Oryzias latipes: one gene and its partners. The protein of the gene in region 1 binds, or shares a complex with, the protein of each later gene. Links are inferred from orthologs where the notes say so. Each region holds a gene or a part of one and is shown on either strand. Other genes may lie near its edges. The genes, in order: cnot11, cnot9, cnot10, cnot8 and CCR4-NOT transcription complex subunit 7.

Region 1 (6,320 bases):
GGCTGCCTGGAGCGCGGGGCGGGTCTCCCTTGGCTCGTACCCGGGGTCGGGGTGGAGGGATGCCCAGAACTCCTGGGTGGTGGTGGGGTGCTCATCTGGGGCTGTGGGTGCTCTTCTGGGGCGGGGCCCTGCGTTGGGGGCTGCTCTCCTGGTTGGGCTGGAGCTTGCACTCTCTGTCCCACTAGAAAGTGCACTGAACCTTTTTTCTTCAATGATTTGTGAACCTCACTGGTGTCCATGGATTACATGAAATCGTCTTCATCTTTATCCACCTTTGTCATGGTAGGGAGAACACGTCAATGTAAGGGTGGGGTCATAGGATAGCACAAGGGTTATTGTGTACATGTTGACATTTTTGGAGCCAACGGGTATGCTTGTGACACTTGGGTGTGTGTGTGGACAGGCCGCGCCCTTATAGACTTGTATTACATCTGAACCTCACTGTAATTATTATAAACATCCAGCAACTTGTTGCTTTATGCTGCTTCATGGTTTTAACCCCTCCCCCCTCTAACATCCCTCTCTCTTCTTCCCTCCTTTCCTTTTCCACAAGCTCCAAACGAAAAAGATTTTCAAATATGATTAAAATGAATAAAGTTTGGCCTCGATTACAAAAGGGGTTTATTCAGACATACCTCTGGTTTGTCTGAAGATTCATAACCCCTGTTGTTAAAATAAAACATGTCCAACACAAGAGGCCTCCAGCTCTCATCTGTCTGCCTAGCTGTTGGACAGGACAAGTAAAAAAAAAAGCCACATCTTCATTTGGATGAAAGTTTGATGTCAGGTTTAAGATCTTATACCCTCATACCCAGACACCACAGTTTTGGGTTCAGTTTTTGTTGGGAAATTGGACCAGTTTCCATCATTTTGAGTCTGCAAAACATAGTGGTTATTTGGTGAACTGACCTTACTGTCATTTTCTGCTCACAGACTGTATGACGTTGCTGCCCCTAGATAGGGATTAGGGAAGAACAGTCGGTCTTTTTGTCATCCTAAAATCTGAGTTTTTTTATTTCGACATCTGAAACCCTTTTTAAATGATTTAAGCATTTGCAGCAAAACTTTACCCTCAACATTTTTAAAAGCTAGAAAACTGGGAGCAGAAGAAAACGGTCAGAACTTGTGTCACGCTTTGCAAACATACAACTCTGCACACAAGAACCAAACACTCAACAATTTTATGGAGACAAAATAAGGAGTAAAACACTTTTGAGTTCAAATGTTTCACTGAGCTCCAGTAAATCTGCCGAAGTGATAGCAGCTTATGGAATTTCTGCAGCTTTGACTTAATGCAACATTTGATCACTCAGGAAATGACATCGAAAATAATACAAACTCGAGGGTTTAATAAAGAAAAAATTGATGAGTCAGTGACAAAGATCCTCCGCAGAGCTGCATATTTACAGCACGTCCTCTCATGACTGAGCTGTACGGCTCCCTGCTCCCTCTGATGTCAGGACTCCTGCTCATTTGATGGGCTTGGCCTCGGCCGGGTTCTCCCCAGTGTCCAGGGTCTTCAGAAGGCGGAAGAGGCCGGCCGCTTCACGGATGCGGCTGAACTCTATGCAGAAGGCCTGCACCTCGATGAACAGGTCCTGGACGTTGATGATCTTGTTTCGGATCAGCGACTGCAGGAAGACGCACACCAGCCGGACCAGGCGGTTCTGCAAGAATCAAGCGGGTTTTTATTCCAGAGGAAAACTCTTGAGCTCTCTTCAGCAGTTCACAGTTCCAAGAACGCGTGTTGACCTGCATGTATTTGTCTTTGATCTGCTCACACGTGGAGATGCAGTTGGAGATGTAGAGGTGGATGAATTCTGGAGGCAGATCCACAGCTGTGGTTAACCTGACGGAGGAGAGCAAACAACTCCATCACTTCCAAACTACAGAAACAGCACCAAACTGGAACCCAACTGGAGATTCGTTAACAGGTCTGAATACAGCCAAAGCCCCGCCCCCACCTGTTTACCACCTCCATGGAGTGCAGCGACATGTCCATGTTGACGAGCACTGAGAAATACTCTGTGATCTGGCTGCTCTGCATCAGTTTTAGCAGCATCTCGATGGCCACCAGTGGGTTGTTCTCCACCAGCTCAGGCAGCTTCACAGGCGTCAGGCCGATGTGATACACCAGCTTTGGGTCTTTCTCCAACTCAGCCAGCAGCTGCACACACGGCGAGGTCAATACAGAGGAGTGACAGCGGTGCACAGCAGTAGGAGTCAACGCCTCCACAAGAAATAATTTGTCTTTTAGGGAACGGACGATAAAGTTTTTGAGTGAAGGGAAAAATAAAGGTTGATTTTTTTTAAGACCACCAGAAAACTAATCCAGGAAGACAAAGGTTAAAAAAGAAACAAATACTTTTCCCACAAATTGTGTTTTTGTTTTGATAAATCTTGATTTAAAAATGAAAAAAGAGCAGATCTGAAGTTAAGTTTTTGTTTCTTTGCAAAGAACAGGAGTTCCTATTTTAAATAAAGTTTTTATTTTAACCCTGACTTTGCCTTTGTGTAAACCAAACATGTTGTTGATCAGCATCAGACCTACCTGGGACTGCTGCTGAGCCGACAGCGGACTCTTGAAGGCCTTGGCCATGATGCGTTTGATCTCCACGCCGGTGCTGTTCTTCACACACATTGACCGATCCCACTGGATGCAGTGGTCCGGCTCGGTGGGGTTCAGCCACGCCAGCTCATCTTCGCATGTGTGGAGCGGAGGCGTCGGCCGGATGAACTCGGGTCGAAAATGACCTGGGAGGGTTTTGAGAAACTGGTACTTACCATGCCTCATAGCAACACCTTCAGACAGACGGCCTTTGAACAAAGTCTAAATACTTTAATATAAAACTACTGAAAAATGACATAACTTCAGCAAAAACCTTCTAGACAGTCACTCAAACACTTTTTTTTTTAAAGTATCAGTTAAAGATCAATCGCACTCAACAGATCAGGTCGGCGCCGATCAACCTGTAACCGTGAGTTTTTGCTGAGGAGACGGCTACCATCTTTTCTGAGGAGATTCCTTCTTTCTTCCACAGATGTGATCACAGCTTGTGTGAAAAAAAGCACTTACTCTCCAGAGGAGGACGCAGCCCTGTGACCAGAGACTCAATGATCTGATTGGCCACAGAGCTGTCGAAGCCTGAGTTGGAGGAGTCTGGATCGGGGTCGTTGAGGATGCTGGGGAAGCTGGCTTTGCTCTGGGTGGGCAGCTCTGACTGGCGCTCTGCAAAAAGAGGGCTGGGATTGACGGCGTCTTCACCTGTGATGAGATGTTTCCTTACAACCTTCACTGACCTGCTAAAGGAAGCTGCAGCCCGCTGATGTCTATAGATGGGGGCATGTTGCTCACGTCCATGCAGGACACCTGTCTGGGGGTCTTTTTGAAGAGGTCTCTGGGCGGAGCCAGCATCAGCTGGGACAGGAAGAACTTCTCCGGCTGCGTGATGGGAGGAAGGAAGCCTGGACCCAACGAAACAGAGACTGAGCGGCTGCGGTTCTGATGAGACGTCGGGCTAAAGGTGAAAGGAAGCGGCCCTACCGGACAGGGCTTTCTCCTGCTCATCCCCGGAAGGTGCTGGGTTTAGCAGGTGCGCGAACACGGCGGCGAACGGGTTCGCGGCCAACGGCTCGGTTCGGTACATCTCCCAGAGCAGATAGAGGGCTGTGAGCCGCTGCGGAGAGCTGGGCAGCAGGTCCGGCTGCTGCAGCAGCATGACCAGAACCGAACCCACCTTGAAGTGGTCCGCCTTCCCAAAGTAATGATGGAAATGAGTGGAGAGGGTCTCGAAGCTGTTGTTGCAGGCCTCATCCGAGATTATGCTCAGCAGGTTGGACAGTTCCTTTGGAGCCAGAGTCATCGTTTCCCCGCCACAGTTCGATCGGATGCAGAGATTGACCGGGGTCCCTGATAAGTCTTTCTGTATAACTATAGCGGCGCTCTTACCCGCTTATTCATCTTTGAAGACGCAGAGTGGAGGACGGTGGCCCAGAAGTCATCTCGATTGAGATCCTATAACGCGGTTAGCATCAAGTTAGCCTAGCTTAAAAATAAGCTACAAAACCGGGAAACTCGTCAAAACATCAATCATCTTTTTAAAAATAATTATCCAAATAGATTAAATGAACGTATAACTTATCAATCGAACCAAAGAGTTACAAAAGATAATATTTCCAGGACTGAGAAAGAAATAAGACCCTGAATGGGATAGTGCTGCGAGCCATTAGCTTGAAGTATTTTTTAGTCGTATTTTCCGGTGAACTGCATCTTGGGTGATGTAGTTTTCTTCAGTTTCTCTCCAGTCCAGCAGGTGGAAATGGTATATGAATTATTCCTACCAAATAATCGTTCACATTTGTTTTATTTAAATAGATAGATAGAGAGGGAGAGGGAGAGAGAGAGAGTTAAGAGAAGGTAGAGATAGCAGTACTCTGCCTTTTAGGCTCAGGTAAGAGACCTAAATTAAAACCCATAAGTTAAAACGTTTTACTAGGGACTGAAATTTGAAGAACTTCTCTTATGTTCGTTTTAGGTGATGGTAATCCCTAGGTATGTTACACAGTGTTGGAGTACAATGTCTGTCACCATAGACGATCTCTGTCTGATTATGTTATTACGTAAGCATGCGCCAATTTTTTTTACGTGCAGTTGAAAATAAAAAGGAAGGCGCAGCCTCTCATCATAGTCAAGACGAAGTGAGTGGGGAGCTGCACTTCAGGTTCAGAATGAAATGTCTCCTGTGTCCATTATTTAAGAGTTAAGAAGCAAACACGGTTGTGTGTAACAGGGATGTCTTTAACGGCTTTGGCGTCGGGAGAGAGTTCCCGAGCGGCAAGAGAGACAACTGCTGCTGCTGGAGAGCCAACACACAGTTTCCATAATTTTTGGTGATAGTAATCCCTAGGTGTGTTACATGTATGTGATGGGAATTTTACATATGGATCGTGTTTTGTCAAATTTGATAGGTAGTTCTTCACATTTTTGATGTTAAGATGAAGTGCAGGGCCATTAGAAAAATCTTTTACTAGATTTAGGGCTCGGGGAATTTGACTGCCATCTTTAAAAAAAAAATGTTAATATTAATATCATCTGTATCTAGACGATCAAAAACAAGCCAGTATATGGCTAATATGTGACTGCCGGGAGATACTTTTGTTGCTCCATGTAAAACTTGATCTTGTTTGGATTCTTCTCTCCAAGGATCTTTTAAATGAAAACTTTGTATAAATTAAAGTAGTTCAGCATTAGGATTATTAGTTTGTAGTGGCCATCTATCCAGTCGACAATCTAACACCATATTCAGGTCTCCTCCAATTATAATTATTGCATGGGGAAGTTTGTTTAAACATTCAGGTGAACAATTTTCTATTATGGATAGGAGTTGAGAATTTTCACATTTAGTATTGTAACCATATACATTTATAGCTATAAAAGTCTTATTTTCGTATGCCAAGGTCATTTATGTGTAAGACTGTCACCTTCAAATTTGTGTTTTACCGTAAGAGTGCCATCTGAGTGCTGACTTCCATGAGAAAAGAATATGTTATTACCCCATTGGGATCTCCCGAAATTTGCATCATCTTTTGTAGAGTGGGACTCTTGAAAAAAGAAAAAGTCTGTATTTAACTTTTTGGCAAACAAGAAAAGAGCTTTACGCTTGGTAGCCTTTTTTAACGCCCTGACATTCAATGAACCTAAACTTAACGACATAAAAAAGAGAAGATAATAAAGTAAGATCTTTAGTTGGTGAGCTGGGTTGCATTAACCAGTGTGCTAAAAAGGAAAATAAACGTTCACTAGTTATATTTACACAAATGTACGATTCAAGTAAATGAGGTAAAAAAAAGATGAATTAAACATTCAGAATAAACTTTAAGCCGACTTGAACATACAATTAGAACCTTCTGACGCCCATTTGGTAAAAGATATTGGAACTAGTGGCCGATTTTCATCAAAATCAGATTGTGCAAACTGCTAGAGCGCAAAAAGATGGATGAGTTTATATTGTTGGGTAGACAGCCCAGTGTTGAGAGCTGACTTCTTTACCGTTGATATATGCTCGAGGACCAACGTAGTAAGCGGTTTTGCCCTCTCGTCTGGCTGCCTCAATCATTGGCCACATCGCCGCTCTTCTCTCGCAATCTGTCACACAGAGATCTTCTGTGAAGTGGAGATGGCACTCTTTCAAAAAAGACCTGTTTTTCACAGTTTTCCACATGGCGTCTCAGACGGTTCTGGAGGTAAACTGTACGATGATTCCTCTGGGTTTCCTCTCATTTTCCTTCAGTTTCCCCAACAGGTGAACAATATCAATAAC
Region 2 (4,660 bases), about 1.9 Mb from region 1:
AGTGGATACTTAGGAAACTTGTCCCACTGGGATCAGATTTTCTCTCAAATGGAAGGCTTGAGCGCAGGTAAATCCATGATGCATGATTTATATCTGAGTCCACGTGGCTAATGGAGCCCATGTGGACAACAATCTGTTAATGGACCGGTAAAGGGGAAATGAAGGTTCATTAGTGGAGCGAGCAGACATGAAAGATAGAGGACACAGTGAGGAAAGATGAGCTTCTGTTTCTTTGTGTGGCGTTCTAAGGTGGCTACACATATGAGGTTCTTCAAAATGTGTCTAAAGGGGTTTGGAGAAGTTAAAAGAAATCGGCCTCAAATGTGGTTGCTCTTATTTGGTTGAAGGCTGTAATGCAACTTCACTGTATCTAAAACACATTTAATGTGTATTATTGTTTAAAGAAAAAGGGTTTTAAAATATTTTGCTAATTCTGTCAAGAAGTCTGCTAAAATAGTTGTTGGTGAACCAATCTCTGTTTATCTTATAAAAGTCTTATGAAAACCTTCATCCAAGAAAATCACCAAGATATATGCCAACTATCCTATGCTTTAACAACTTGCGACATGAAGGTGATATGGAGGTCTTTCCCTTAGTTTGATGAGACCACATTGGTGCTTTACATACATGGGTGTGACTCTTCTTCTGTTAGATGGTGGATCTTTGATACTTTTAATTTTCAGGTGGTGTTGCAGAGCATGAGCAATGTTTTAAAGAAACTATTCCCTAAAAGATAACACATCTTTGAAAAATAAATATTTGATTTAAAAAAAATAAAAAATGTGTTGAAAGGATTGCCAATACTTAAGAACATGAGAAATTGTCAGATTATTAGAGCAGACATTAAACAACCAGAGAATTAATGCTCCACTGCTAACAATTGAAGCCTTTATAATGCAAAAACAATAGAACGCTTAAATAGACAGATGCCTAATCAATTATCAATAAACATCTCCAAGATTACTTTCTAAGAATACTTTACATGACAGTACAAGTAGTTTTCTTGTTTGGAAATATTTTGACAGGAATATTTCAAGAGAAAATGTGCTTATTATTCCAGTGTGTTATTCCATAATCCATCCAGATAAATATCCTTTAAAAAATTGGCCACTTGGGACAGCCGTCTTTCCAAGACTAAAGGGAGGAGTTCCTCTAATTGCACTTCTCATTCACACAACATCCTGAGTTTGATCATCCTCTGGAAAAGTCTTAAAGGTCAAACAAACAAATGGTGACTTTTTAAAAATGTTTACAATTATGTATCCAAAAAAGTGTAGCTGTAAATAGACAAAATATCAGAGAATGACTGTTAAACCTTAACAACCACTTACTGTAGAATATTTGTGATTTCCTGCTCACTATTATCATAGAACTAATGCAAATTAAAATGCTCATTTTAGAAGCAAAACCAGCTTTTATTGGAAGTTACAGAAAGATCGAGTGGTAACAATAAAAAGCGCCAGCATCAGATTTAAGAACAGTTTTCAGGATGACTTGCAGAAAAATGCTGTTTGAGAAAAATCTTGGATGTAGTTTCCTAACTTTCATATGTTGTTTCTTTCAGAAAATTTTAAAGCAGAAACGGGGCTGAAGTTGCAAGTTTTCCCTTAAATGCAACATAATGTACCTCAACATTTCACAAACATCTTTGACAAAAAAAGGGTAGCAAGAAAGAAATTTGTCTCAGTCAATATTTGAGCCAGTTGCTCATATAAAATGAAGTAATGTACTAGGCGTCCAAATGAGTCAGGCTTGAAAATCAGATTTTTAAGGTTTTTTATAAAAGTGTACAGTTTTGACAACAACCCTATCTTTAGAAAAACAAACTAAAGCAAAAGAAAAACATCTCTTATTTTAAGCCTCTCCAGTGCATAGCTTTAGCACCAAATTTGGCAAAAAACACCAAGTGAGTCCATTTGTGTCCATTGGAACCACACCCCCTCACTGTGGATTGAAGCTCCATCACTGTGGAGCAAGTGGGATGCCTCTAGCATCGGTAACTTGGCCTTCCTGCAAGTTCTTCACTAGTTGTGCGAGCCAGCGCTTGGTGGTGGTGTCGTCCTTCAGCACCTGTGCAAAGGTGTTGTCCTTTAACTGGTCTGGTAGACACTGACGAAGGGCCTCTCTGGCTCTGAGAAAAGAAAACCAAATGTCAAATCACTGTAGGACATATGTAACTTCTCATATATCAGCCAATCAGAAAATAAACATTTGTTTATACAGCATTTTTAAAAGTTCTAAAAAAAAAAAAAGCTGATCATTGTAAATCTTTTATCACTTTTGATTAATTCAGACAACTGTTACCCTTCTTTTCCAAGTTTCATTATCCCAAAAATGCATGTTTCATCCAAAATAGGAAAGAAAGAAATATCTGAAGGCATTATGTGGAATTCCCATTTACCGGTAAGTTGCTATATGCTTGTTTTTGCAGCACTTTTAACCAGTAGAAACACATTAAGTAATGATAGTTGCAAAAAACACAGATCAAATTCTATTTTTTTTTTTGCAATCAAAATAGTTGTTTTCCAGGAACTTTAGGATAAATAAAAAAGGCAAATTTAGTCACGGAGACTGTTTTACCTTAGGTTATCAGAGAGGCGAAGATAGCAGCGGACAACGTGTTTCAGCAGACGAGCTGATGGCTCTTTGGAGAGCTGCAGCACCATCTTGCCCTGCACAGATAAAATGATCGTATTATTGTGGTGTGTAGCATACAGTCAGGACCGTAAATATTTGGATAGACACATTCTTTATAATTTAGTTTCTGTACATTACCACAGTGAGTTTTAAATAAAACTTAGATGCCGTTGAAGTGCAGACTTTCAGCTTTTATTCCATGGGTTGAACAAAAAGATTGCATAAAAATGTGAAAAACTAAAGCATTTTTTAAACACAATCCCTTCATTTCATGGGCTCGTAAATAATTGGATAATTGACTTCCATGCTATTGCATGGGCAGGTGTGGGTAATTCCCTTGTTATGTCATTATGAGTGAAGCCGATAAAAGGCCTGGAGAAGATTAGAGGACTCATGCTTGCATTTGGAAGATTTTTCTGTGAACAGACAACATGCGGTCAAAGGAGCTCTCCATGCAGGGGAAAAGAGCCATCATTAAGCTGAGAAAACAGAAAAAAAACATGCCAGAAATTGCTACAGTATTAGGAGTGGCAAAATCAACAGTGTGGTACATCCTGAGAAAGACAGAAAGCACTGGTGAACTCAGCAACGCAAAAAGACCTGGGGCCTCATTTATAAACGTTGCGTACGCACAAAAGAAGGCGTACGCCACTCTCTACGCAATAATTGAGATTTATAAAAAGCAAACTTGACGGGAAAATGTGCGGTCCTTCACGCAAGCTCTGACCCAGGCGTACGCACAAAAACGGGTGAAATGAGAAACGGCGACACCGTCGGCAGATGGAAGAAACACATGAAAGTGAAAATGACAATACTGCCTCTCAGAAATAACATGAAGACTTCACAAAGCAAGTCTTACAATTAACAGCTACACGAACACCCGTTTGATCGATCAGCAGTGAAACAAACAAAAAAATCAAACGAAAATTACAACAGAAATTCAAATGAACACATATTTGCAAAAAGAAAAGTGAAATATGTTCTACAATATTGGCATGTAGTGCAATTCATCCTCATAAACAATATAGTTAACAGAACGAAATAATGTACAAAACTGATATTCTCGTTAATGTGTCCGTCTGGCGGAGCAGATATTGGTGCAATTAGACAGACAGACAGACAGACATTAATTGTCCACTGGTGAAAGTTGTTTTCATATTAAAACATTTCTTCATAAGGCATAAGCTATGGAATTATGGTATTCATGCATATGCCTTTAGTTTGTTTTATTTTTGATAAAACAATGTATAGCGTATGTCTCAACCATTCAGAAAGCAACAAGAAATTACATTTGCGCTGATCAATTTCCCATTTCCACGTCGATTATTACCGACATCTGTAGCTTGTCAGATGTAATTAAATGGATGGAAATAAAATGCCCCATCACAATGCGTAATGACGCTCAATGGCTTATCTTGCGCTCTTAGAAGATGTGGCAAATGGAAGAATTCGGAGTGAACGCATATTTAGACAGCAAGAAGACTTCCTGGCAAACGAGGATGAGTGGCTTATGAGCCGGTTCCGACTTCCTCGAGCTGTCCGGCGGTTCGGCAAGATGGCGGACCGCGAGCATACAGTGTTCTAAACTCTGCAGAAGTTTGCGTGCCAAACCCTGTCTATTAGTAACAAGACAACAAATGAATACACTGACTGACTACCGGTAAGAGAGCTTGCTTAAAAAAAAAAATAAAGAAAAAAAAAACGAACTTAATATTACTTACTCGCTCTGGGAGTTCCTGCTGGGGAAGATCTTTCAATCCACCACTATTTGCGACTGCTAGCTAGCTATTGCTAACGCCATGCCGAAACGAGATAAAATCAAGGGAACATGATAATGGACACAGATGAAGAGGGCGCAGGTTCTGCTTGTGCACTGCTGCTTGAATCTCCTGCTTCAAGTCCTCTGTCAAAGAAACAGTGTTCAGGAAAAAAAGAAGAACAGGTGTCAAATGCTGATATTTTACATGCAATTCGCGAATTAACGGGCAGATTTGCTTCCCTTGAAGAAAAGATCTGCAGAAAC
Region 3 (6,425 bases), on another chromosome or scaffold:
CGGTCAGAGGAGGCAGCAGAAGCAAAGTCATTCATGACAGATGCTTTCTGATTGAATGACCACTAACTTTATTGATCCGTTTACAAAGCTTGAGTCGTAAATCCTTCACAAACATGCAGGTGATACTTATTCAGATGTTCCAGCAGAGGACCTGACCTGTCTTCATGGGTCCTGGATGCTCGGCGATGTTGCAGCTGTTCAGCAGCTTCACAGCTTTGCGGTAGTTTCCTCTCAGGTACTCAAAGTTGCTCTTCAGGAAAAGGGAGGGTGCAGACTGCAGGAGGAAAAAAAGCACCACAGTAACGACATGACCACAGTTCAGCCTGTGAGCACCAAAACTGAAATAAGCAAGGACATGTCCTCTCCAGGGTCACTGGTGAAGCATCCAGCAGCACGATTTCTATCAAAAAAAAGGTTTCTAAGTAGAAATCCAGTCATGAAAAAGATGGGAGGCAGATATAAACAAAGCTAAACTGAATACAAAGACCTGGAATCTCATGATTTTGACTGTACAGAATGGAGCTAAACAGGAGACTCAGGGTTCTCTGGACAGAGGAAGGCTGTGTGCATGGAGCCCACTGGAAACTCACATTTCCGGCTGTGTTCATCACCGATTTGATTTCTCTCTTACAGGCCTTGGAAGACTTCATCTGGATGTAGGCTCTGACCTTGTACTAGAGGGAGGAGACAGAGAGTGAGGGTTCTGGAGCAAGGCAGCAGAGTGAAGGGAGAGGACCCAGAGAGCTCTGACCTGGTGGAGTTTGTATTTTGCTGCTTCAATCATGGCTGCAAACTCCGCCCTCTGGCTGCCAGCGTCCTTATGTGAAGTGGCGCTCTACAAGCACACACACATAACAGTAATGCTTCCATCATATACACAGTGGACAGAGGAACAGGACTCTCGTGGTCGGTCCCTTCATTCCGTTTCTAACCCACAGGAAGGAGGCAGGTCGACAGTGACGCGTCAGCTGCTGCCATGCATTTCCTAAAACAGCGAGCAGCAAGAGAGGCAGCTTTAAAAGAGTAAAAAAACTGCAGCCTGTCATGAAGAGGCCCAGAGAGCAGCCGCACGAGCCGTCACTGCAGCCTGAAACCGGCTGGAGTGAGGAAAAGAAAACTGCAGAGAAACTAACTCCAGTACTTCACAGACTACAAGTGGCTCTGGACTGCAAGTCTAACTTTTGGTAGACTTTTGAAGAGCTCTGTAGTCACAGCCGCTCCATGACATCGTTCACAGATTCTCCCAGGACGGTGAGCTTCACCGTCTGCTGCAGGAGCTGCGTCTGAATGGTGCTTCCGTCTCTTCAGACTCAGTTTAAAAAACAGTTTTTTTAAATCACATATATCATTTGCTCCTGAGTATAAGTCACACCCCTGCCCAAACTAAAAAGCTATTTATACTCCGAAAGATACCATAACTCTGCTTTTCAACATCTTTGTTCTTGTAAATCATTAGGATTTAAGGTTTAACATTTACCTAAGGGACAGAAAAAGGTTAAACAAATCTAAGTAGAACAAAGCCTCCTCCTGTAAATGAGGCGTCTCTTCATCACACTGCCGGCGCCGCTTACCTCTCCTTTCCCGTTCCTGCTGCCGCCCTGAGCAGACAGCTTATCCAGCACGGCGAGCAGGTGCAGCGCCTTCTCTGGCTGGAAGGTCAGCAGGTACAAGTCCACCAGGAGGAAGCAGACGGCCTGAGCAAACTTCTCTTCTGGGACAAATGAAAAAGTCTTTACACACACAGCCGAGAGCAGACCTGATGTAAGGCACGCCATGCATGGAGCAATCCCCCCCAGTCCAGTCTGCACCAGCAGGCTTCCTGTTGGGTCAGACTGTGCGGGACGCGTCCCTGAGGATCAGGACGGTGACTGTGGGAACTTGATCCATCACAGGAGCTTTCAGACAGAACGTTGCAGAAAAAAGCTGAACCCACAGGCGCTGAGAACAGATCCTGCTGCACAACATGCCGTCTGAAGATGGACAGCCTGAAGATGTGGCTCAAACCAAGACTTTTAACTTCATCATTGAAGCTGGTTTGAAAAGAAAAGTATCAGCTGATTGGTCAGATCACAAAGAAAGCTGGGATGTTTACATCAGAAAAGGCAGCACCAGCATAAATCCAGGTTTGACCTCTCATTACATTTACAGACACTACAATGGAGACGATGCTTCCATTTGAGGGTATTTGGGATCAAAAAGGAGGCGTGATCTGGTGACTGACAGGTGACTTTGGGTGTGCCCCCCCCAACATCTGACATTTCCCATTATTGGAAAAGCTAGAAGTTTGTAGAATCTGGTTGAAGAGCAACTACCAGGGAGCTGAAAACTCGTCAACTGAGCTCAGCACAGACCTTAGGGTCACATGACCAAAGATGGTGTGTCCATGCACTAAACCTCATTGGACATTCATGAAGACTTCTCCACATCTGTGTTTAATGTATTTACTATTTAAATCATAATGGAATCCAGGTTTGAGCAGTCCAGGCCCTGTGGGGTTTGAAGAGGAACCGGTTCTACGTGGCCTTCATGTGAAAAATGCCGTGGAATGTTCCTTTAGTCCCCTGGAGAATTGGAAGCTGTGAATCGGAAGCCAACTTCAGCGTCGTCAAACACTCCAGGTCCATAATCAATGAGGCTGCAGGGACTCTCCATTTCTGAAACAGACCTCTCTGGGACACAACAGGACCCCAGTGTTCTCACAATGTGACCTCAGTGACCCCCATGTGAACGTCCAGACGCAGAGCAGAGCATGCACCTGTGCCACAGACAGCGGCAGGCGGGGAGTCTGCCCTGCTGACTACTCACCAAACGGCTCCAAGAACTGGTAGAGCTTCTCTCCAATGGAAATGGCCTCAGAGAACTGCTTCAAGTGGTAACAGATGACCGCTTGATTGTAGTACAGCAGGCTGTTCTCCACGTCGTCCAGGCCATCGGCGTCTTCCGTCAGCGATGAGTGGAGCTGGCGGACACAGTCGGCCAATCAAACGTCTCATAACGTATTAGAGTGCAGGTGTCGGTGAGCTGCTGTTACCCGGTTCTTCATGGCCATCAGCGTCTGCCTCAAAGTGCCCGTGGTGGTCTGACTGCTCCTGTAGAACTCTGTGACGGCCTTGTTCATGGCGATCTTGTAGTCCTCTTTGTTGAACTCCAGCAGGGCTTCCAGGTGCTTCATGGACTCTTCGTACCGTCCAGCCTGTGAGACACAGAGGCTTCACGTCGTGTGGCATTACCCAGCTCCAGCCTCCACCACATGCACCAAAACCTGTTCTGCTGACGATCCGAAGAGAGACGGACTTACCAAGAAGCACTCGTACGCACTCGAGGCCAGCTCCTTCTCCTGGTCGCTCATGCCCGTCACACCCGAGCCGTCATGCTTCTCCTCGTTGCGTTCGGCTGAAATTGCAACAGAGGAGACATCAAACCCTCTGAGTTCCACCTGAGGACGGAATGCGTGGCTCAACCAGAACCCAAAGGGCGCCATGTCTCTGCAGTCCTTCCCTCTCACTCTGGAGGCTTCAGACCCCACATGGTAACTTCCTAAGACCATTTCTGAAAATCCCTCTCATTTAAGGCAGATATTGTAGCCTTAAGTTTAGCAAAAGAATGTCACGTGTATGACGACGTAATGACCTTCTCTCAGTTTATTGTGGGACGCGTCTGTTCATGGCCAAGCTGGGGTTCCTTCATACGTGGTGTTGTGTCTGAGTTATGGTCTGTCCTGTCATAGTTCCATGATGAGCAGCAGGACCTGCTTGGATCACCTCAAGAACTTTGATCTAACCACAGTCTGCTCAGTATTATCTGCACCCCAACTTCGGGACGGTTACCTGGGAGTCCTGGATCTGCCACGGGGCTGTCGGGCTACCTCTAATGTCTTTTGGGGGGGTTTCAGCTACACTGACGGATCATCATCATGCAGAAGCAGCCGCTAACTGAGCAGCAGCTAGTTAGTAGCATCATCAGCCGGAACACCCACCGGAGTTTTCGGCCATTTCCCGGGTCTTCATCCACAATCCAGCCGCGGAGCTGTAGGAGAACACAAGAACAACGCCGGGAAGAGGAAATCCTGAATATCCAACTGGAAAGAGTTTTACACGAACCGGACCAGCTCTGTTTGTGGTCGGCTTCAGTGACTGACTGCTGTAGCCGCTTCTCTTGGTTCTTCTTCGGTCACTGGCGCCATCGACACCAGCGCACGGTTTGTCAACAGCGCCCCCTTTGGAAGTAACTGTCCATGGTAAGAATGAGAGCACGCGCCGTCTTTTTTTATTTTGAATAAACTTTATTTGTAGTTAAGTATAAACAAACTTTATTAACAAAATCTAACATCCGTCCTATCGAGTCAGGCTGCTGATCAGGTAGAAGACAGTTCTGTGGCTTCATTAAATGAGCTCAATAGTGGAACTTCTCCACTTCCAATATCTGTCTGTCAGTAAAAGGCAGAGAATGAAACAGTCAGAAACTCTTTAGGATGTATCTGCTCAGCTGATCAGTCTGCTCCTGTTATTTGCAAGATTCTTTTCTGACTTCCTTGCTCTTTTCCTTTTGGGTCAACAGCTGCCTCGTCAATGAGGATCGGCACACATCCAGCTTCTTCTCCAAGTCCTGCAGGGGTATACGCATGGATTAGTTCAGTGACACCTGATGATGCTGCTCCTCCTCCTCCTCAACTGTATCTTCCAGTCCTTCTCCTCAGTGGCTATGGTCAGTCTGATGGTGCGCCTCTTTCTTCAGCAGGCTGGGCGGATCTCTGAGCAGCTGCTGGAGATTGTGTCTTGTAGCATCAAGGTGTCAACACAGGTGTCATTGAGCTACTTACCCAAAGCCTCTGTCTCCTTCTTGTGCCTTATCACATCTAGTTTGGTTTTTTCTTGTTAACTACAATAACCTCAGTGAGAAATGAAATACCAGATGCAAGTTAAAGGTAAACTGTTCCTTGTTCTCCAATGGACAGGAGAGGGAAAGGTGAGGCGAGGTAGAAGAAGAAACAGAGGAACTAAAACAGATTAATGGAAACTTCAAATAATAAGGAGACAACGTGAAGAAAAAGAGGCAGAGATGGAGTTAAGAAAGAACATAGAGGAAACAGCTAATCAAGGAGACGAGGATGGGAGCCATCCCCAAAACATAACACACCCAACCACCCCCACCCATGTCCTGCAAATTCCCTTCAACAGGGTTCAAATATAACAATGCCGCTGGGCTGCAAGGTGGAACAATGGTTAGTGCTGAGAAGGCCCCAGTTTAAATCCCGACTGGGACCTTTGTCTGTGGAGTTGCCTGTTCTCCTCATGCATGTGTGGGTTTTCTCCAGGCACTCCAGCTCCCTCCCACAGTCTAAAAACATGCTTCATTGGTTAATTGGCTACTCTAATAGTGTCCCTATAGGTGTGCATGTGTGTGTGATTGTGTGCCCTACGACAGACAACACTGTGACACAGAAATGGATGGATGGATGGATATGACAAATTCAAATGAAACCACAAGTGTGTCCCACACTGAACCGGTTTAATCTGAAATCAGGTGCAAACGCAATCATGTGGATGCAGAACAAAATAAAATAACAGCATCGATGAATTACAACAAATCATCTTTAAGCTGAGATAAAACAAAAGCTTTTTTTCCCTGGTAATTGCAATGTCAACACAGAAAACTTGTGTGTAATTTGCAGCTGATTCTAGACAGGTGATTGTGAGTAAAAGGTTGAAAACGAACAGCACCTGTTGAGCACAAGCTGTGCTCAGCGAACCTATTGGCAGAATTTTCCTTGAAGGAGAAAAAACGAATCCATGAAGTGGCAGAAGGAGAGGCTGCTGGAGGTGGTGAAGCAGTTCCCTTCAATTAGAGTTCATCTGGACAGGAGAGTAAGTAACCATCTCAAAAATAATAATAAATAAATAAAACATCAGAAGAAACTGGTTATTTTAAATGTGATGCATCTGTTCTTCATTTTTTTAACTACATGAAAATTTGGGATGTTTCTTCCCCCACAGAAACACAAAGCAAAACAGGAGGAAACACTTGTTGCTCCTGTTTGGAGCCACGACCATCCTGGTTAAATTAAAGATGCTGAGCTTCATACATTGGCAGGTATTAACAAGATACTTGATAAACAAATTTTCTTTATGAATTTTGTAAGTGCACTTTTGTATTCTGTGCGTGTGTTGCAGCAGGTGAAAAAGATCAAGCAACAATGCAATACCTCAGGAGTGTCTTGAATGAATGGGGTCAATGTCTGACCACTGTTGTGGTGGCATCAGAATCTGAAGAGGGCTAAAAAAGACTGGGCTGACTGAAAAGTTCAAGCATGTCCAAGAACCTCCACCTAAAATCCTGTATGCAGACACTTACTGTTGTTGGTAAGTTACAATTCTGACCACTTTTGTAACCACATAACATGTGACACGGCACATGAGGGGTCCCAA
Region 4 (6,669 bases), on another chromosome or scaffold:
CCACATTCAGATGGTAGAGTCAGAATCTGGCCTCAACAAAATGAAAGCATGGATCCATCCTGCCCTGTATCAACGGTTCAGGCTGGTGGTGGTGGTGTCATGGTGTGGGGATGTTTTCTTTGTACCAACTGAGCATGGTTCCAGCACCACAGTCTACCAGAGTATTGATGCTGACCATGTCCATCCCTTCATGACCACAGTGGACCATCTTCTGATGCTACTTCCAGCAGGATAAGGCTCCATGTCATGAAGCTGGAATCATCTCAGACTGGTTTCTAGAACATGACAATGAGTTCTCTGGACTCAAACTGCCTCCACAGTCACCAGAACCCAATAGAGAACCTTTGGGATGCGGTGGAACTGGAGATCGGCATCATGGATGTACAGCTGACAAATCTGCAGCAACTGATGCTGTCATGTCAACATGGACCAAAGTCTCTGAGGAATGTTTCCAGAACCTTGCTGATTCTAAACCACAGAGGATTAAGGCGGTTCTGAAGGCTAAAGAGGGTACAAGCAAAGTGGAGCTGCTAAAGTGGGTGAGTGTATGTCCACACATAAAACACTAAAGATCTACAATTCTACGCATTTATAAATGCATTTCTCGAAAGACATTTTATAAACCATCTAAGCAGATTCACAAAAACTTCCAGCTGCAACAGAACAGCTGTCAGCCGGAAAACGATGAAGACTGTACCTCCTTCATCCTGAAGAAAGCCATGCCCGTGAGCAGCGAATCCGACCCCGCCTGATGCTGCCGGCCAATCCTCTTCAGCTCCAGCTGATCGGCCACTTCCTGCAACCCCCCCTGCAGGAACAAGCGGAGACGGAGTGAGACGGCTCCACGTTCCTCGGGGATGTAGAAAGCAATAAACCCTGTGACCCGCAGGCCTTACCTTCAGACTTTTGCAGCTCTTCATCAAATACTTCACATCGTAAATTGCAGGAAAAAACAAGTTTAAGATCTGAAAGAACTCGTGTTCCTCCTCTGGAAGCCGCGCATCCGTCAGGAGTTTCACCAGATAGCCAAAGTCATAACCACTGAGACAAAACAAAAATTATTAATGATTAAAAACTCAGAGAATCAACTCCTCTAGACATTGAACAGTTTCAGAGGTTCTGCAAAAGTTTACTATCAATGTGAATAGAAGCAGCATCCCAGAAACCTTTTCTAGATCGTGTCTGTCTCAGAGGAAGACAGGGAAAATGGTGACGGTCGCTCTAAAAAGCTCTGCAAAGACTTAAAGTTCCATAATCTTGAACGTCATCTACATTATATCGTCTAAGAAACATCAGCAGAACCAAAGAGGACTAAGATACCAGTTTATTGTGGAGTTTGTCTCCAGCAGGTCAGACTGCTGTAACGTCTGGACCCAGAAAAGAAGCAGCAGTTCATCCAGAACGCTGCTGCTCCGCTTCTGATTTTGACCATCAGTCCCGAGGTCACACAACAGCCTTTCAAATAGTTCTGCTTCTGTTCAAGTCTCTTCATGCTTTAGCATCAGAGATCATATTTGGAATGAACCAGAGGCAGAACTTTAACTGGAGCTCAGAATTCAGCTCCATGCAGCTAATCTCTGAAATTTCTCCCTGAAGATCCCAGAGAAGTTTTTCCTCTGACAAGGATTAAGTTCAGAGTAAAAGAGATGTTTTTGACCTGCTTACATTGTTTTATCTGGATCTCTATTCTGGTGTTAACCCATAAGTACCCAGACCCATTTGTTGTTTAAAATAAAGTGCATATTTTAACCACAAACCAAATGGACCAAAGAATCCATTTCTGATATTTTCTGTTACACTGACGTCACCGTGGGTTCTACTGGGTTAAAGTGATTTTAATTATATTTTATGATTTCTGAAAGATCAAACAGAAGACCCCCTCCCACCCCCGTTCATGGAACAAGCCAGCAGACAACCGACCTGTGGAAGGACAGCCACTTGACGTTCTCACACAGAACCAGACCCGACGTCATGAGGAGCTCGGCGAAGTACAGCGTGTCGATTCCTTCTTCTTCGTGTTTTTTGAACTGCAGACCCGAGTTCTGGAGCAGGTCTATGGAGTCCTGGGAGTACATATCCTCACTGCACACAACGTTAGAGAACATCAAGGATCATTTCAGGACTTGATCATCTTATTTCACTAGAAAACCTGTGAACCTTTCACTTTTCAGAGATTTATGAAAAGGAGTAAACAAAAATGTAAATCAACCTTTTTTTAATTATTAAAATACATCTAATAAAAAAAAAAAAGTAAAAAGTTCATGCAGTTTAACACCACAGTAGAACAGCTGAGGCACAAACTTCTGTGTGAAATACTGTCTCCTAGTGGAGAAGTGGCTCATTGCATCTTTCACAGCCTGTTTAAGGCTTACGTACTGGAGTTTAATTTACAGGCGTCTCTGTTTATGTTTTTTATTATTTTTAAAGACTGTTGTCATCATAGCACATAAGTGGCTTAGGCTGCCAGCAGGTTGACAGGAAGCAGCGAACGTTTTCAGTCCCATGAGACGACGAAGCACCTACGTCAGGTTGAACTTGAAGTTGAATTGCCACGTGGTCGTGCCGGGGGGGTAATCCCCATCCTCGTTCATGAATGTGAGACCAAGCTGGATGATCTTCAGCAGATCCACGTTGCACCGCAGCAGCTGGTACTGGTAATCTACCGTACTGCGAAACTCGCCTATGGGTCGGACCACGACTCCGGGAAACTCCGTGTCCTAAGACACAGAAATGCAGGGTTAGGACACTCCAGGAAAGGAAGAGACTAGCACACATTTGCAATCACCACATTTACGTTCTTTGTTTTTCTTTTTAGAATTCAACTGTCAACAAAGAAAGGAGAGCCTGTAACCATGGCAACGTAGTTGTAGCTTTGGATAATTTGCCGTATCTTCCTCATCTCTTCCCCCACGTTGCTCGCCCAGACTTCACAGATCATCTGGCTGGAATCTTGAAGAGCAGCTGGCATGTTGGCAGGTTCCTAGGAGACCCGACGGTCCTGCAGGGCTTCAAGGGGGGGTGGGAAGGGGGACCGTGCAACAAAAAAAGAACTGCGAAAGGAGATTTAGAAAAAACGTACTTAAATCTCAGAGTAATGCCGTCAAATCATCACAAGTATACAACATAAAAATAGGGAATCTTTGGAAGCTGAGCATCTAATAAGAGTCTACTTAATTTATTCAAAAGTTACCCAGTCATGATGGCATCATTTACTGATCTAAGGTCAAATGCAGGGTCAAACCGTGTCTTTACTCTGTCCTGCTTTGACCCCTTAACAATTGTTTCCCTGTTTCACAGCATCAATTTGATTCAAAATGCTATTGATAGATTGAAGACTAACTGCTTTCTGTATGTAATAATCCACCAAGTAGTCTTGGGTGTCACCATATATTTGGTTTAAAAAAAAAATCAGTTCAACAGCAGCACTGAAAGTTACATGGTAAAATGACGTTTCTGTAGTCTGTAACTGGGATTTTTACAGTCTACCTGACGCGTTTCCACATAGATCTTTATATATAATGAAAGTACACGCTGTATGGAGGCTCTCAAAACGAGCAAAAACTAACAATAAAAATAGAAACAACAAAGAACAGCATTAAAAAAACGCTGTTGTTGCCATGACAGCCGACTCCGTACTGACTGTAGTGCGGAACTGGCTTTACTAATTTAACTTCAGCCGAAATACAAATATAAAACCGATATTTTCAATCATTCTAACACTATAAATAAAACAAATATACTTTAAAATTGTTCTTAAGCAGAAAAGAAAATGAAAACAAACCGTGATCGATGCTAACAGTTAGCATAGACGTTAATATTCGCGCGCGGTCAAGTTGCAGAGATGACGCAGCATTGAAGAATAAATAAATGACGTGGCCCTGTTAAAGTGTTTAATCTGACTGAAGCTGCCCGGGAAAAAAAATGTAGTCGTTTAATTAGGTAACCGGTTTACCTTAAAATTCCCTCGACACAACGCTGTCGTCTGCTTCCTTCATTTCCTACCGTCTCACTTCCGGTTTGGAGTGGACTATAAACGTGCACACTGCCCCCTGCCGGTCCGGAGCGGAAGCTCCACAACGCTACTTCATTTGTTGACATCCATCCATTAAATAAAAATGTATGACTTATCTTTACATTTTTTTGTTACTTAAATATATTCATATGTCAAATTCATATTAACTACTTCAACACAAATTTTTTCCTAAAGGCCCTCATCCATGCAGTAAATGGGTCATTCATTGTACCTTTTTAATAAATTATAGGAATAATCATAATAAAAATGTCAGAAATACAAAAAAAAACACTATTTAAAAAAAAGTTTGTAAACTGAAAACAATAAACCCAAATATGTAACTAAAATGCCAAGCAGAGAACACATTAGAATAAACATTATTTATCAAACTATATGATGGTTATATTGTGCAGGACTCAACCATGATAACCTTTGTAACGGTTCCAATACACATATAATTAAAATGTAAATATGAATTTAGTTTAACATATGAAAGACAGCATGAGACATGTAGGTATATCATGTTTTTGTTTGAATATCAACATTTCATTGAAACATTCATTACTCCTTGTGTTTTACAGGTATTTTCATGTGAAACTGTATTTTTAATGTATAAACGAATGTGTATTTCTTTCCCCAAACACGCATCTGCTGAGCGACGCGGAAACCTAGATGAGGTAAAAAATGGTGAAAGAGCAGCTGCTGCACATGCTGCTCCCTCTGTAGTTCCCTCTGTAGACCATGTGATACCAATGACCATGAAAGGAAAAGATTTGACAAAAAGTCACAGGAAACTAATGAAAAACAGCGTTCAAATCGGTCCATCCGAACCCTTTTATTTTACATTTTTACACAATTGAATGAAGTGAGTTTCAGTCCTCCACAGAAACATCATGTTTAGCACAGAAACAGCTGCAGCTTTAAGGGAAAAACACAGAAGAACAACTTCATAATAAAGTAAAACAACAGCAGGGGATTAAAAATAAGGAAAATTATTAAAAAGAGGGTGTGGCTTTGAAGGCCACCTTGCAGGTGAAGCTGCTTCTGCTTCGTCAACGCAAAGTGACTGCAGAAGCTTCTTTATTGATTAGTAGTAAAATGACTTCTGTCTGCTACCGCCTGGGGGCAGAACCCATCCTCCCACGGGACCCCACCCCTCCATGTAGCACTAAGCCTTGGTGGAGGTTACAAGTGCAGCGAGGAACCCTCCTTTACTCGTGCTCAGGTGAGGCAACTCTGAGTCAGAATCCCTAGATGACCCTTAAGGGCGACAGCGTCTCTGCTGATGGGGAGAGTCAAAGAACCTTCGGAGAAAAACAACAAAGATACCGGGACAAAAGTGCAAACATCACACATTTTTGGGTCGTTTCTAATTGTTTCAGATTTTTGTTTTTAATTTTTTTTTTCTTATTTAAAGCGTCCCACCTTACCCTACAAGTTTTCATTCGATTTTTTTCATTAAAAGAATTTTTTGAGCAGAAGTGTGATAATAAAGTGTTTCCCTGTTTGTTTCTGCAGAAGCAGTGGAGTCCCTGTAGGTCAGGACGCCTCATGTTTGCTTCTGTGCTTCACAAACCCCCAGAACGGTGCGACTAAAAGCTTTTCTCCTTCCGGCCGAAGTTCTTCAAAAGGCTTTCAGCGGCGTCGGTTCTCTGGAGACGCGGCGCTCCTCTGGATGTGGGAGATCTCCAGGATCGGCATGAGAAGCTGGAAAGCGTCCTGGATGTAGGACGCGCTGTTGGACGCCTGTGTGGGAGGAGCATTTCTAGGAGCGCTGTGGGAGGGGCAACATGAACATTCAGCGATGGCACACCCACCTCAAGAAAGACTCCTGTAATCAGGGGGTTCAGCACGTCTCCTTTGTCCTGAGACTGAAAAACAGGGCAAAGCGTTAGCCTGCAGAGAGAGAACGTCTGTGGAACCGGTACCGGGATCAAGCGGACCTGAAAGCATCCTGCAGTTCGGTTCTGTGCTTTAACCCCTTCCTGCCTATTCTAGTGTTTCATTTTATTTACCAACAACAATAAACGCATCTTCTATAAAACTCGTTTTTGACTCAAATCTATATTAAGAAATAAAAGGTGGAGGAAAAGTGAAACTTTGGACATTTGAATGGAAAAACCCTGGTTTCTATGGCAACTGCAGCCGTGGCCTCACTGCAGGACCGGGCGCTACTGGGCTTTCTGCAGGAGGAACTCTTGAATGTCGTCAGTCTCAGTTCCAGCCGTCTAACAGGAGCTTCTGGAAGAAGACACTGACGCTGCCCTCTTACCCCCGCTGCCGTCAAGCAGGACGTGAACTTCTTGGAGAGCAGAGAGACTTCTTTACACAGGACAACAGTCAACCTGAAGACACGCAACACAGGAGCCAATGAGAGGCTGGACGGGCAGGAGAGCTGCTCAGAGGAAAGCGCCTCACTGTGACAGGACGCTGGCGTCTGCGCTGCCATTGGAGAAGAGGATCATCTCTGCCAGTTTGTGAAAAAGCTCGATGGATCGAGCCGTCAGCTCTGCCAGGCTCCTGATGGCAGCGGCGTGAACGTCCTGACGGGGAAAGGAAAAAAAATCCAGGAGGTTTCTGTGAAGGTGTGAATTCTACTTCCTGAATAACAATAAAGCAGAAAGTCTGAGGACTGAAAGGCTAAATGGAGATGCAAA
Region 5 (6,669 bases), on another chromosome or scaffold:
TATTGCAAAGGTACACGAATAAAGTTATATTGAAACCAACAGCTGGGTTTTTTTTTGTCAAAAGAGAAAACCATGAAAAATACATTTTTAAAAATGACTCGTTTAAATTTTAACTGCTGCTGACTTTCCTTGTTAGATCTATAATGTCAAATATGAAAAAATCTTACAAAAAAAGGTATGTATTTCATGTAAATTATGTTCCCCTGCAGCTTAAAGGTTCGTGAATGGCAGTTTTGTGACATTTGATTGAAGTCCCAATCTGTCTGAAAGAAAAAAGGACTAAGTCCAGGCCCCCCTGTTCTGGTCCCCATCCAGGATAAAATACACGGTTGTGTCAGGAAAAGCATTCTGCAAAAAACTCTCTGCCAAACCATTTGTTGTGGCGACCCATGAGGGAATGTGCCGAAAGGTGAACAAACAAACGATGGTCTTTGTTCTTTTTTTTTTTTTTTTTTTTTTTTTTTTACGATTAATCGAAAAATACATCAATCCGATTGAAGAGCTCAGAACATTTTTATTTAATTAGGAAGTATAAGCAAATATTGTGATCATTTGTTTTGCGTATGCAAGACATTTTCATTCAGAATTTTTTTTTTCAATTCATGATTTATTTCAGTTATGTTTTTATGACCAAAAACGTTGAAACATTGTTTTAAACTTCAATAATAAGAAAAAAAAAGCATTTTTGACATTATTGACATTTATATAAGAGCAATAAAATGTTGCAGGATAACATTTATTAACAATCAACATGGTTTTGATTCAATATTATAACATTTTTAACGATGATATTGCAAATTAAATAAAGTTTTAAATCAATCTAAAATGAGATATTGATAATATGTATATCAATTTTTATGTCTTGCAAAATGTATTATTTGAGATTTGTTTTGCTTCTTTTGATTCTCCAATTAATTAAGACAAAAATACAAACAGTTGTAAACATAAAGAAATAAAATCTAAAATTATGTAATTTTTTATAAAAATGTATTTACATATTTTTAAATAAAACACGAAATAACAAAATGTTTAAATGATTTATGAACGTGGAATGTATGAGCATCGAAAAATACCATTAACTGATAAAATTATAATAAAGAGAAGTAATTGCAGAAAAAATTAGCATGAAAAATGCAATAATTCATTCATTTTCTTAACCGTTTATTCCCTTTCGGGGTCACGGGGCTGCCGGAGCCTATCCCGGCCACTTGGGCATAGGCAAGGGATACCCTGGACTGGTTGCCAGTCTGTTGCAGGGTGGAATATCCTCAATCACACATCCATTCACTCTCACACTCACAGTTATGGACAATTTAGAGTTGCCAATTAACCTATGAAGCATGTTTTTGGATGGTGGGAGGAAGCCGGAGACCCCGGAGAAAACCCACGCATACACGGGGAGAACATGCAAACTCCACACAGAAAGGTCCCCCATTGATGTTCTGTTTTTCACGTCCCCCAGCCGGGACTTGAACCGGGGGCCTTCTTGCTGTGAGGCAAGAGCGCTAACCACTGCGCCACCGTGCAGCCTAAATGCAATAATATTTACTAAAAACGATTTTTTTGTAATCTTATATTAGCCACTGATTTTTTTTATTTTAGAAAAAATTACATAGTGGGAGATTGTCCCATTTTGTCTTTGTGTTGCAAATAAATAGAAGATGAGGAAGTGAAGCAACAATATGTTTATAAATAAATTATTTTGTTTTAAAAAGTACACATCCTACCTGAGGATGTGTACAAATCAAGAAAATGTGGGTCATAGTTTCAGGTTTGGCATCACAAAAAGAACCACTGGTGTCATCATTTTTGCAGCTGTGTAAAATACTTCATGCCCGAATTTATTCTCAATGTTGAAAAAACTTCCTTTGTGAATGAAGTGCTGGAGAAAATGAAATGTTATGAATTACTAACTTACGGGATGAGGGGTTAAAGGTCAAAGAAAAAGAAAAAGAATGAAATACAGATAACATAGAAAAAAATTAAACATTACAAAAATTACATAAGGTATGAAAAATTATAAGGGCATTTACACAACATATTGGTTATTGAGGGTTTGTGTTCAACAATAAAAGTTAAAGGTAAAATCTTTTTCACCCTAAATGTCCTCTAGTCCATATTTGTTGAAAATGTTTCCCTTAAAGATGTCAATCATATGCATTCTTTTTTTTCATCTTAGAGTGGTCATAAAATGATCAAAATCAACAAAAATGCGAACGTTGGATTATGATGCGTCTGTGAAAATTGTACTTTTTTATTAAAACAAGTGATTTGAAAAACGAATTTATCTCTGCATCATGTTTTACTTGAATTTAAAATGTGGCCTTTTTGGTTTCATGGCTAACATTTTTATTTGTGTAAAACTTTTTCAGTAATTTACCAAAATAATATAACTTTAGGGGCAAAAAAAAGTTTATTTTACTTTAATATAAATTGAAAAGAAAATATATTTTGTGAAAAAATAAAAAAAATCTGTACAGTATAATTTTTAAAAATAATATATCCTTTGAAAATAATTATATATACACTTTCAACGAGAGCCTGTTCACCTTGAATAAATTAGTAATTAATAAGAAATATATAACGTTTATTTGTACTTTTTAAAATTTATATATTCCTCTTTACAAACATTTATTGGAAAACCTTTTTTCACATTTTACGGATGAGGATCCTGAAACGTCCTTACGTCCTGACGTTTCACTTTACGTAATGACGTCACTGTGTGGGGTCCGCTGTGATGGCAGCCGTAGGTTGACATCAAGCCCCACTGAATATAAAAGTATTTCAAAGTTGGCGGAACACCCCCCTCCCCTCCCTGCTGACAGATATCACAGAACACACGGCCAGCTTTCAGATAGCACACGCTCAAACACGCGCGCGCCCGTTTCGGGGAACGGTGAGTCAACGAAACAAAACCTTTGCAGTCTCCCAAAAAAAAAAAAAAGAAAAGAAGTGACGCCCCGGCGTGTGTGCGCGCGCGCGCACTGCTGCTACTTACTCGTGCCTGTCCTGTTGTACAACCACTCCTGTGTAGTTGATCGAAACTAATGTTTTGTGTGAGAAAACCGCACAGTCGCCACTCCTCTTGTTCGGAAGTTTTACCTCCAACCCGCTAACTGTTAACAGGTAACAAGCTAGCAACAGTGCTGCTTTAAATTACGAGCTAGCAGGCGGCTAAAACACACATGACTTCTACTACTAACTAAGCGGCTCTTTTCATGTGGTTTCGGCTGCTTTGTCTGTGTTTTCATGATGCTCTCATCATCCCCCGCCCCCCATCTCCACGCGTGGTGAAGTGGCACTATGCCCGCAGCCACTGTAGACCACAGCCAAAGAATATGTGAGGTCTGGGCCAGTAACCTGGAAGAGGAGCTCAAGAGAATCCGGCACGTCATCCGAAAGTACAACTACATCGCAATGGTGAGAGATGCTCAGAGACCCCACCCATCCATCCACCTATCCATCCACCCACCTATCCATCCATCCACCCATCCATCCATCCATCCACCCATCCATCCATCCACCTACCCACCTATCCACCCACCCATCCACCCACCCATCCATCCACCTATCCATCCACCTATCCATCCATCCATCCACCTATCCATCCATCCACCTATCCACCCACCCATCCACCCATCCACCCACCCATCCATCCACCCACCCACCCATCCACCCATCCATCCATCCATCCATCCATCTACCCACCCACCCATCCATCCATCCATCCATCCATCCACCTACCCAACCATCGATCCACCCATCCATCCATCCACCCACCCATCCACCCATCCACCCACCCATCCATCCATCCACCCACCCACCCACCCATCCACCCACCCATCCATCCACCCACCCATCCATCCATCCATCCACCCACCCATCCATCCATCCACCTACCCAACCATCGATCCATCCATCCATCCACCCACCCACCCACCCACCCATCCATCCATCCATCCATCTATCCATCCTCCCACCCACCCACTGTCACTGGTGTCCACGGTCCCTCGTTCTTGCCTCTTTCAGGACACAGAGTTTCCAGGAGTTGTAGCCCGACCCATCGGAGAGTTCCGGAGCAATGCCGACTATCAGTACCAGTTGCTGCGCTGCAACGTGGACCTGCTGAAGATCATCCAGCTGGGCCTGACCTTCATGAACGAGCAGGGAGAGTACCCCCCCGGGACGTCAACGTGGCAGTTCAACTTTAAGTTTAGCCTCACGTGAGTCTCTCACTATGTCTAAACAGACTCGTCCGCTTGGATTCCCATGAACGACTTCACAATCTGTAAAAACAATTCAATTCAAAACACATTAAAGTCCTATATGCCTTTGATCTATTTTAAAAGCATTCCCAATCAGATTTAAATTATGGTTATTCCGTATTTTAGCCACACACAAAAAAAAGTTGTCATTTTCCTGGATATAGTTTCTGCAGTTTCTACCCTTTATTCTCCTTCCTTGTTGCTGAGAGCTCTCTGTTTACACAATCTCCCGGTAGCTTACAGCCCCCTCATACCGCCTGACCTGATATTGACCGGTGCAACAAAAAGGGCGAGCCAGCTCAGACGAGGAAGACGAAGGTTAATTTTCTTTATGTATCATCAAAAAAAAAAACCACCACCACATGTTAAGCCCTCCAAAAACACAACTTACATTTTTTTTATCAGAGGGGGTAGGCGCACAAAGGGGATTTAAATTAATCGAAGAGAAAGCATCCTGAATGAAAATAGGAGTTTTTATATTTAAAAAAAAAAAAACAGATCAAAGCTGCCTGAAAAATACAAGTAATTAATGAAAAAAATAGCAATAATGCATGCTCTAAATAGGAAGCACAGGTGTTTTTTTAATTGTTTTTTATTGTTAAACAGATGGGGTTTTTTTTTACTTTTTTTACGTAAGCTTGGGTGGCTTTTTAAAAAAAATTTTAAGTTATGTTTGTTTTGTGAATCATGTAAAACATCTAAAGATTCTTGGAGAAATCCATGGTGGATGTTCTGGGACGGAGGAGGCGGGGCTTACAGGAGAAGCATTTGTCTTTCAGAATAAGAGCGGCGCTTTCATCCCTTCTCACACGATTGGTCCCCCGTGGGTTCAACGATGCTTTTCAAAGTCAAGCGTTATTCTGTCCATCGTTCCCAAATGGAAGAATTTGCACTTTTTCCAGCATCCAGTCAGATCCTAGTCGATCTATTCCTGCCTTAAGTTTTTTTTTGAAGGTTTCCCTCTTTGCTGAGCAAACCTACAAAGTTTAAGTTTTTTAATGGTTATTCTGTGGCGTTTTGTTTGTTGTTTTTTTGGAATGAAAGCGTGAAGCTTAGAAACAGAGATGTGTTTTATTTATTTATTTCATTTATGTATTTATTGTTTTAACCAGAGAGGACATGTACGCGCAGGACTCCATCGAGCTCCTGACCACTTCAGGAATTCAGTTCAAGAAGCACGAGGAAGAAGGCATCGAGACGCTGTTCTTTGCAGAGCTGCTGATGACATCAGGAGTGGTGCTCTGTGACGGAATCAAGTGGCTCTCCTTCCATAGGTAGCCCCCCATCAATAGTTGCTCTTCACGTTTGTTATTGACGGTAAAGTCATCGTCTTTTTCAAGCTTAAATAACAAACTCTGCATCCCGCGCCGCTGCATCTTTTATTTTATAACAAACCTATATGTCTCTACCTGTTTTTTTGTGTTGTTTTTAGCTAATCGCTTCCTTTTTAGGAGATATTTAGGTTTAAGTTGAACGATTTTTCACATCTGCGCAGCACCAAAGACTTTCCTTCTTATCGTTAGGTTTGGATGTTGTCACTTTTTCTTTCAAGGCGACTTCCTTCAGTCATTATCGTTGTTCTGTATTCAGCGCCGGTTTACCGGAGGAGAGACGAACCAAAACAAGGAAAACAATCTCCTTCGCAAAAGGATGTGAACGCCCTAAACGTTTCTGAAAATGATGCGGCGAGGCAGAAGAAAAAGTTCACAGGACAAGCAGAGCTGTTGAAAACAGCTTTGGACTCAAAACCATATGTTATAAATTTGAAAGAGAAATATTTTAAATTCAAAAAATGTAGGGAAAAAAGAAGAAAAAGCTCTTATCACTACTGTACGTCACATCTGAATAGGGATGACACAGACGGGGCCGTCAACAGATGCTGTTTGGGGGTGGAAACGACATCACTGAAACCTGTCACCTGGTGTCAATCAAACACCGGTAGCCAATGAGCACAAAGCTCCGCCCCCCGGGTAAAATTAGGATCGACTAACTAAAAGTCAGAATTAAAACTGTAAATTTAGGTCTAAAGGAAAAAACATACGTTAAAATTTGCCAAACAGCAGCTGTTACTAATATTCTTTTTTTCAAATTTACAATTTTTGTCTTTCACATTTTCAACATTTCTTTCATATTTGTCTAGTTTAAAACTTTTTTTAGACAGTCTTTTCTCAAATCTGATCTATCATTCACCTTTAGCTGATTCTGATTTGACCCCATATGCCAGTTTTTTTGTTTTTGTTTAGGCAATGTCGCCCCCCAGTGGACAGCTGTTGTAACTGTAGCATTTCCTACAGTTTTCCTACAATCTGTGCTTGGAAGTAAAACGTTTTTCTTTCTTTTTTTTGCTGGTTGGAGTTTTACAATAACGGTGTCTTTGTGTTTCGCAGCGGCTACGACTTTGGAT

Evidence for each region.
Region 2: cnot11 (region 1) and cnot9 share a complex: the UniProt entries of both Homo sapiens proteins name them as parts of the CCR4-NOT complex. The link is inferred for Oryzias latipes from reciprocal best matches to the Homo sapiens genes CNOT11 and CNOT9.
Region 3: cnot11 (region 1) and cnot10 share a complex: the UniProt entries of both Homo sapiens proteins name them as parts of the CCR4-NOT complex. The link is inferred for Oryzias latipes from reciprocal best matches to the Homo sapiens genes CNOT11 and CNOT10.
Region 4: cnot11 (region 1) and cnot8 share a complex: the UniProt entries of both Homo sapiens proteins name them as parts of the CCR4-NOT complex. The link is inferred for Oryzias latipes from reciprocal best matches to the Homo sapiens genes CNOT11 and CNOT8.
Region 5: cnot11 (region 1) and CCR4-NOT transcription complex subunit 7 share a complex: the UniProt entries of both Homo sapiens proteins name them as parts of the CCR4-NOT complex. The link is inferred for Oryzias latipes from reciprocal best matches to the Homo sapiens genes CNOT11 and CNOT7.

What each region holds. Positions count from the first base shown.
Region 1 is NC_019879.2:14,489,655-14,495,974, reverse strand, and holds cnot11 (CCR4-NOT transcription complex subunit 11), read right to left. Parts: upstream 3,864-6,320; coding exon 3,545-3,863; intron 3,466-3,544; coding exon 3,301-3,465; intron 3,230-3,300; coding exon 3,077-3,229; intron 2,755-3,076; coding exon 2,552-2,754; intron 2,168-2,551; coding exon 1,965-2,167; intron 1,850-1,964; coding exon 1,753-1,849; intron 1,668-1,752; coding exon 1,470-1,667; 3' UTR 1,163-1,469; downstream 1-1,162. UniProt on the Homo sapiens protein: Component of the CCR4-NOT complex which is one of the major cellular mRNA deadenylases and is linked to various cellular processes including bulk mRNA degradation, miRNA-mediated repression, translational repression during translational initiation and general transcription regulation.
Region 2 is NC_019879.2:16,419,838-16,424,497, forward strand, and holds the end of cnot9 (CCR4-NOT transcription complex subunit 9), read right to left. Parts: intron 2,673-4,660; coding exon 2,581-2,672; intron 2,132-2,580; coding exon 1,963-2,131; 3' UTR 1,395-1,962; downstream 1-1,394. UniProt on the Homo sapiens protein: Component of the CCR4-NOT complex which is one of the major cellular mRNA deadenylases and is linked to various cellular processes including bulk mRNA degradation, miRNA-mediated repression, translational repression during translational initiation and general transcription regulation.
Region 3 is NC_019874.2:7,744,837-7,751,261, reverse strand, and holds the start of cnot10 (CCR4-NOT transcription complex subunit 10), read right to left. Parts: upstream 4,204-6,425; 5' UTR 4,008-4,203; coding exon 3,977-4,007; intron 3,394-3,976; coding exon 3,299-3,393; intron 3,194-3,298; coding exon 3,032-3,193; intron 2,960-3,031; coding exon 2,806-2,959; intron 1,712-2,805; coding exon 1,572-1,711; intron 836-1,571; coding exon 752-835; intron 675-751; coding exon 591-674; intron 275-590; coding exon 157-274; intron 1-156. UniProt on the Homo sapiens protein: Component of the CCR4-NOT complex which is one of the major cellular mRNA deadenylases and is linked to various cellular processes including bulk mRNA degradation, miRNA-mediated repression, translational repression during translational initiation and general transcription regulation.
Region 4 is NC_019872.2:29,378,204-29,384,872, reverse strand, and holds the start of cnot8 (CCR4-NOT transcription complex subunit 8), read right to left. Parts: upstream 4,052-6,669; 5' UTR 3,953-4,051; exon of another isoform or gene 3,782-3,952; intron 3,051-3,781; 5' UTR 2,969-3,050; coding exon 2,852-2,968; intron 2,718-2,851; coding exon 2,524-2,717; intron 2,083-2,523; coding exon 1,921-2,082; intron 1,042-1,920; coding exon 897-1,041; intron 809-896; coding exon 698-808; intron 1-697. Other genes in the region: protein FAM114A2, read right to left, coding at 5,648-5,758, 5,830-5,883, 6,285-6,357, 6,431-6,555. UniProt on the Homo sapiens protein: Has 3'-5' poly(A) exoribonuclease activity for synthetic poly(A) RNA substrate. Its function seems to be partially redundant with that of CNOT7.
Region 5 is NC_019868.2:26,783,257-26,789,925, reverse strand, and holds the start of CCR4-NOT transcription complex subunit 7, read left to right. Parts: upstream 1-2,694; 5' UTR 2,695-2,896; exon of another isoform or gene 2,897-3,126; intron 3,127-3,296; 5' UTR 3,297-3,303; coding exon 3,304-3,420; intron 3,421-4,029; coding exon 4,030-4,223; intron 4,224-5,377; coding exon 5,378-5,539; intron 5,540-6,652; coding exon 6,653-6,669. UniProt on the Homo sapiens protein: Has 3'-5' poly(A) exoribonuclease activity for synthetic poly(A) RNA substrate. Its function seems to be partially redundant with that of CNOT8.